Oryza sativa Japonica Group: one gene and its partner. The protein of the gene in region 1 binds, or shares a complex with, the protein of each later gene. Links are inferred from orthologs where the notes say so. Each region holds a gene or a part of one and is shown in the gene's direction. Other genes may lie near its edges. The genes, in order: NAD(P)H-quinone oxidoreductase subunit S, chloroplastic; photosynthetic NDH subunit of subcomplex B 5, chloroplastic.

The links.
Region 2: NAD(P)H-quinone oxidoreductase subunit S, chloroplastic (region 1) and photosynthetic NDH subunit of subcomplex B 5, chloroplastic share a complex: the UniProt entries of both Arabidopsis thaliana proteins name them as parts of the chloroplast NDH complex. The link is inferred for Oryza sativa Japonica Group from reciprocal best matches to the Arabidopsis thaliana genes NdhS and PnsB5.

The regions. Positions count from the first base shown.
Region 1 is NC_089041.1:5,276,747-5,279,771, reverse strand, and holds NAD(P)H-quinone oxidoreductase subunit S, chloroplastic, read left to right. Parts: upstream 1-1,398; 5' UTR 1,399-1,489; coding exon 1,490-2,227; 3' UTR 2,228-2,452; downstream 2,453-3,025. UniProt on the Arabidopsis thaliana protein: NDH shuttles electrons from NAD(P)H:plastoquinone, via FMN and iron-sulfur (Fe-S) centers, to quinones in the photosynthetic chain and possibly in a chloroplast respiratory chain.
Region 2 is NC_089035.1:41,426,785-41,430,709, forward strand, and holds the start of photosynthetic NDH subunit of subcomplex B 5, chloroplastic, read left to right. Parts: upstream 1-1,651; 5' UTR 1,652-2,429; coding exon 2,430-2,711; intron 2,712-2,876; coding exon 2,877-2,931; intron 2,932-3,059; coding exon 3,060-3,128; intron 3,129-3,270; coding exon 3,271-3,329; intron 3,330-3,431; coding exon 3,432-3,668; 3' UTR 3,669-3,925. Other genes in the region: uncharacterized protein, read left to right, coding at 46-133, 233-304, 382-482, 742-859, 960-1,019, 1,112-1,222, 1,405-1,503. UniProt on the Arabidopsis thaliana protein: NDH shuttles electrons from NAD(P)H:plastoquinone, via FMN and iron-sulfur (Fe-S) centers, to quinones in the photosynthetic chain and possibly in a chloroplast respiratory chain.

The DNA.
Region 1 (3,025 bases):
ACTGTAAGAGCAAGTATAATAAAAGGCCGTTAGAAGGTTGAATGCTAACGTGGATGAGAGAGGAGAGAGAGAGGGAAAGCGAGTGGTATGCTTAAAACTAGCTTAGGCATAGGAACCAAGAAAATATGTGAGAGAAACATGGGAACCATATAGTTTATAGTTAAGAGCTAACTACTACATGAGTTGGCTGAGAGGTAGACTGTGAAGATCTTATACCACATTTGACGTGATTTGGGCTCGTCGTCTACTCCCTCCGTCCCAAAATAACTCAATATAGGATAGGATGTTACATATTCTAAGACAACGAATCTAGATTGAGTTATTTTGTGATTCTCTCCATCCCAAAGAAACCAACCTAAGAGGGGATTTGACCCCTCCCAGTACAACGAATCTGGACACTACATCTCCTCTTAGGTTGGGTTTTTTTTTACGGAGGAAGTATTTCTTACGGATAGTAACTTTAGGGGCCTATTTATGAAAAAAAATAAAAAGGGGCTTAAATGTAAAATTTTCAGTCGAAAAACACGAGGTCCTCATCCGAAATTCCTAATTGGCGACTGGTCGCGTGCCCCCTCACCCCGCGCGGATGGACGCGTGGCGCGCGTAGGAGGGGGAGGGGGCGCGGCGGCCGCGCACAGTGGGAGGCCCGCGTTCTTTTTTTTTCGCCGGTTTTTATGGTTGTTTTCTTCGGTTCTTTGTTTTTTTAAAAAAAAAACATCACATATATAAAGTTTGTATATACAGTATACAAAGTTTATATACATACGTATATAAAGTTTATATATATGCGTATAGTGTATATATAAAATTTATATACGTGATGGTTTTCCTCTATTTTTTTTTATTTTTTAAAATGAACATATATAAAGTTTGTATATATATCATAAACTTTGTTATACGTTATATATAAACTTTTGTATATGCGTATATATTTACATATAAAATATATTTTTTAAATAGTACTAGTAGTATATAATAACAGTAGTAGTGGTGTAGTGGTCCTAGTTACCAGTACTAGTAGTACTAGTACTAGTTCTAGTTAGCTGTGTTTATTCTAGAGTAAAGTTTAGATTTTGGTTGAAATTGAAGATGATGTGACTGAAAAGTTATGTGTGTATGATAGATTGATGTGATAGAAAAGGACTGAAGTTTAGATCCAAACTTTGGATCTAAACACAGCCTTAGTAGTAGTAGTTAGTAGTACTCCAGTTACTACTACTTCCTCCGTTTTACAATGTAAGTCATTCTAGTATTTTTCATATTCATATTGATGTTAACGTGTAATAAATGCTAGAATAATTTATATTATGAAACGGAGGGAGTAGTAGTTTAAAGTAGTACAGTGGTAGTAGTACTAGTAGTACTTTAAGTATATACTGTACTCCGTATAGCAGTACCAGTCGCCCATTAGCCACCCCCGGTCCTCATCCACCTAGGCTTTAAAGGCTTCGTCACTTCCACACATCCTCTGCTCCGCTCTGCTCCACCAATGGCGCCCACCACCCCCGCCTCCTTCCTCCGCCCGCCGCCGCTGCCCCACCACCACCACCCCCGCATCGTCCGCCTGCCCCCTCCCTCGGCGACCTTCCGCGTCGCTGACCTCCTCGGCGGCCGGGGTCTCTGCAACGGCGAGGTCGGCATCCGCAAGGAGCTCGCCTCCGACTCCCCCGCCGCGCCGCCATCCACCACCACTTCTTCCGACGAGCCCGCGGAGTCGCCACCGCCGCCGCCGGCTGCGTCCGGGGTGGACCCGGACGCGTTCGACAAGGAGATGATGGGCCTCACCGGCGGATTCCCCGGCGGCGAGGTCGGCCTCAAGGACTTCGTCGCCAAGAACCCGCCTCCCCCCAAGCCGGCGCACAGGAAAGGTCTCGCCGCCGCCGCCACGGTGGAGCGGCCGAGGGCGCCGGAGCTGCCGCTGTTCCTCCCCGGGATGGTGGTGCTCGTCAAGAACCCCAACAACGCCTACCACATGTACTGCGGCATCGTGCAGCGCGTCACCGACGGCAAGGTCGGGGTGCTGTTCGAGGGGGGGATCTGGGACAGGCTCATCACCTTCGATCTCGACGAGCTCGAGGGGAGGGAGAAGGGCCCGCCCATGGTGAACCCTAAGTCCGTGCTGCTCGAGTCCCTCGCCGCGGAGATGGAGGACGATGTGGCCAAGGAGGAGGAGGGAGAGGAGGCCAAGAAGAAGAAGGAGGAGGAAGGCACCGCCGCCGCGGCTTGACCACCATTGCTGCTTCTGCTTCTTCTTGTATGTATACAGCTATCTATATTTTCTTAGATGATGGAAGTGAAAGGGGTATATATATATATATTATCTATTCGATGAGTAATTTCGAAGTGAGTAAATGTGTTGTTGTTAATTGCTATATGTACAGTTGGAATCTTAGTGTGAATTGGCACTATGAAACAAACGATTCGGAGATAAAAGTTTAGCTTCTTTGTTGAATTGCTATATGTTTGATCAATTTGATCACGTTTGGTCCGGATTGCTAGTGAAATGCCTACAAGGGCACCAGTTGCCATAGTTCATTATGTTGGTAGGATTAATTTTTTTTTTTACAAACTTGAATTATCATCTCTTGCTTCTTGAAGCGAAGAGGCTATGACAGTCAGGTAACCAGGCTTTCATGATTGTAAATTGTACAGAGTATGAATGTTCAAGTGTTCGTTATTCCTGACATGACTTCAAAATCCCGCAGTATTTCGCACAGCAACTATCTATGCATTGTAGTTTACGTTTGCCTGATAGCTGGTTTCCCATGATTTTTGTTTATTTGAAAGAGTATATGAAAAGATAGGGCCTTTACTTCTATATAACCTGCCTTACTCAGGAATAAGTGTAGCAGCAGATTTAAAAGGATGGTAAAGGAAGACAGTGAAGTAACAATAATGATATAGTGTTTTGCAAACAGAGTACAATTTGTATTGATTACCACCATCTATATCTATATCTATACTAATATAAAAAGGAGTTGTACCCCTCCAATCCTACGAGCCAAATCACTCGGATTAATCCCTA
Region 2 (3,925 bases), on another chromosome or scaffold:
GTCTTGAACTACTGTGTTATAACTGATTTCTGACTGTTCTTTCAGGAGGAAAAGCCCTAAGGGCCAGAATGATAGATCAATTCATGTAAAGCACTTCAAAAATATTCCAATGGCAGATATGGAGCTGGTTTTGGTAAGTGTAGAAGCTTAATATGCCAAAGAATAATGTGGTGACATCCATATTGCTTTCTTCAATTGGACTTATGCTGAAGAGAAATTATGACTGTTGCAGCCTGAGAAGAAAAATCCAAGCCTCACACCAATGGACTGGGTTCAGTTTATTGTTTCTGTTGTCATTGGACTTGTAAGTGGACTGGAACTGGTTGCACTTGATTGGGTTGTGATTCATCACCTGATGATTATTTTTTTCACATTGCTCAGGTTACACTTGTCAGTTCGCTCGAAATGCCTAAAGCTGATTTCTGGGTTGTAGTTGCCGTCCTTTCTGCCCTGGCTGGATATTGTGCCAAGATCTATTTATCGTGAGTGCCTTGGTTGATATATTTGTTTTGATTGGGTATTCGTCTTGTCATCTTGTCGGTAATCTGCATTGTGTATATAATAGAGCAGGGACAGGGAGGATTTTTGTTTACTCATCCAGCCAGAATTACTTTAGAATACCTCCATAAAATGCAGTTTTGCTTCCCTGATTCCTTCAGCATTTTCTTATTTATGATGATACTTTATTTGCTGTATTGGTTGTATTGGACAAATTTGGTAAATAAGCTACCTTTGATTCAGGTTTCAACAGAACATGGCAACATATCAAAACCTAATAACTCAATCAATGTATGACAAACAGCTAGATAGTGGGAAAGGCACACTTCTCCATCTCTGTGATGATGTGATTCAGCAGGAAGTAGGTCTCCATATTGTAGTACTTGATTCAGAATAAGCATATCAGAGACTTGTGCTCACAATTATTTTCATCTTTGTGGTTTCTGAATTCTGATGTCCAGGTCAAGGAGATTATAATTTCCTACTATATTTTGATGGAAAATGGAAAGGCGACTATTGAGGTATTGCTTTGGTATTTGAAACAAGCATGTTTTGTTTCTGAAGTTGTGCAAGTATAAAAATTGAGTTGAATATTCTTGGCACTCAATGCTAGGATCTTGACTTACAATGTGAAGAGTTAATCCAAGAAGAGTTTGGCTTGCAATGCAATTTTGAGGTGATGGATGCTGTTCAGAAGTTAGAGAGGCTTGGCATCATTACAAGAGTGAGTTCTTACAGCTTGTTACAGCAGTACCAAATCATAGTGAGATATATATCCCCAAAAAAAACTTAGATAAATTTCAGAATGTATAGAATCTAAAAGAATTTTTAAATGAAATACCATTATGTTGTTACTCGCATTTTCTCTATTTTAATCATGGATAATAAAGCCAGTGATGCTTGCAGGATTCTATTGGAAGAATATGCTGTCTATCTCTGAAGCGTGCCAATGAGATCATTGGCGCTACTACAGAAGAGCTGGTTATGAAGGCCAGACAAAGCTAGTTATCCAATTCTATTTGAACCAGGTAATCCTTTGGTGGACTCTAGGCTTCCATCATTAGATTGTTTCTGGTTTTTTGGATGGGACATTATATTGTTTCTGGAATACTCCAAGAAGTCCTGACACTGATTTCTTTGCAGTTTAGGGGGGCAATAGGTCCTGGACGGCTGCGGAATAATTCTCCGATGGAAGTTGAGCAGATATGCTATTGTTGTTCTGTTGTAGGACCTGCTGTATTATGCAATGTTTAATGCATGTTGTAAGAAATTTAGTTTCTTCTTGGAACAAAATGTGGAAAGATTTCAGTAAAAAAAAATGTGGAAAGAGGTTCATGAACTGCTGCCTTGTTTGTTCAGTTAATGAATACTCCTACAAGAAATGCAGCAGCCTGCTAACTCAAGGCACAAGAGCCAAGTATGACGCATAAAAAGCATACTGAAGCAGTGAAAAAGCGCTGCTGATGGTGCACTGTATCTCAGCCACTGAATCAGTGACGTCCGACACAGTGACACTGGGTTGCTGGTTCTTTTTCTGCTCTTTTCATTTACAAATCATGTCCTCATGTTGCAGTTGTCTTTTCCTTGTCTCTCCTGATGTGTAAAACACAAGGCTCTGTGCTTGCTGTTGCTAACAATTCAGATTCATCAGAATGCAATAATGTAGTACTAACAAATACTAGTTCTATTCATTCACAAGATTATCATGCATATCTGACCTGATTACTGACTGACTAATGAGGTGATGCAGATTTCTTTCCAGGCATGAAGAAAAAGAAAGAAAAGAGGAAAAAAGCAGCGAAAAATCCTGGACGGTACATGCCCCATACCCATTATCCTCTTGTTTTTGTCTCCTTGCAGCAAAGTATAAGTGCAGCAGCAGCTACCAGCTAAGCAAGAAGCGAGCAGCAGAGCTCAGCGTTTGGAGCGAGATGATGAGCAGCAGCAGCAGCTTGGTGTCCGCCATTTCTGCGTCACCGTCTGCCACTGCAAAAGCTCGCCTTCGTCATGACGATGCAGCAACAGCAACAGGAGCAGCAGCAGCAGCAGCAGTAGCAGCGAGGCAGCTAAAGACGGAGCATGGCGGCTGCTGCTGCTGCCGGAGCAGAGGCCGGGCGGTGGTGGCGAGGGCGGGGCCCGGGCCACTGACGGAGATCGAGCCCGACCTGAACGAGGACCCCATTGATAAGTGGCGCACCAACGGCGTCAGCCCGGTCTGTCCTCCTCGCCGTCGCCGGCCACCGTGTTGAGAATTTCATTATTTTTCTCTATTCCAAGCAGTTTCCATGGTTTCTTTGATTCTTTCTTCAGTGATTGCTGCTGCTGTGCTGTGTTGTCTGAAGAAATGGTTTTGACACTGAAAAGAATCTGCTTTGCAGGACGACTTCGAGTATGGAGTGTATGATGGTCACCACACATATAATGAAACCCAAGGTTCTTTTTCTGGGCTATCTTATCCAGTTATCCATTCCTTGAATCAAAATGCGTAATCATGCTCATGTGTGCTAATTTCTGATTCTTATGTGATATGATGTGGAAAAAAAAATCATTTGACACTGAAGATAAGAAGGGCTTTTGGGAGGATGTCTCTGAGTGGTACCAAGAAGCTGAACCTCCTCAGGGCTTCCAAGGTAGTAACAGCCAAATTCCTTTCTCACTTGGATAAATCAGAGAAAAATCAGATTCTTTCAGATAAATCAGAGAAAAAAAATCAGATCTTTCTTCTCTTAAGACAAGCTTGCTCAATTTGCACTGATGGGCCATCTCTTGCAGCACTGATCTCCTGGTTGTTTCCTCCTGCAATCATCCTTGGCATGGCCTTCAATGTTCCGGTAACATATTGAGCAGTAGTTCCAGCCTACTGACATGTATCACATTTCACAATCTGTCTTGGCTCTTGAGCTCTCTGAATATGTGTCTACTTCTGCCACTAGGGGGAGTACCTCTACATCGGCGCAGCAGTGTTCGTCGTCGTGTTCTGCGTTATCGAGATGGACAAACCGGACAAGCCACACAACTTTGAGCCGGAGATCTACATGATGGAGAGATCGGCTCGCGACAAGCTCATCGCCGACTACAACACCATGGACATCTGGGACTTCAACGAGAAGTACGGCGAGCTCTGGGACTTCACCGTCGACAGAAGAGATGAGATTGTGAAATCGTCTTAGATATGGTATTCAGAAATGGGGGGTCACATTTGTTAGATGCAGCTGCAGAAACAGTTCAGAAAATCAGAACCACTCCAAAGAAAAGCAGGGTGGCAAAGCTGCAAGATGAGTCTCTTCAAAATAAAGAACTTTGAGATGAAATGATGTGTGTATGGATCATCTCATCTACTGTAAGGCCTGCTTTCTATGTCTCTGACAGTCTCAACTCTGAAGTTCTCAGCCAGGTACAAAAGGAGACTGAAAATTCTGTCATGTGT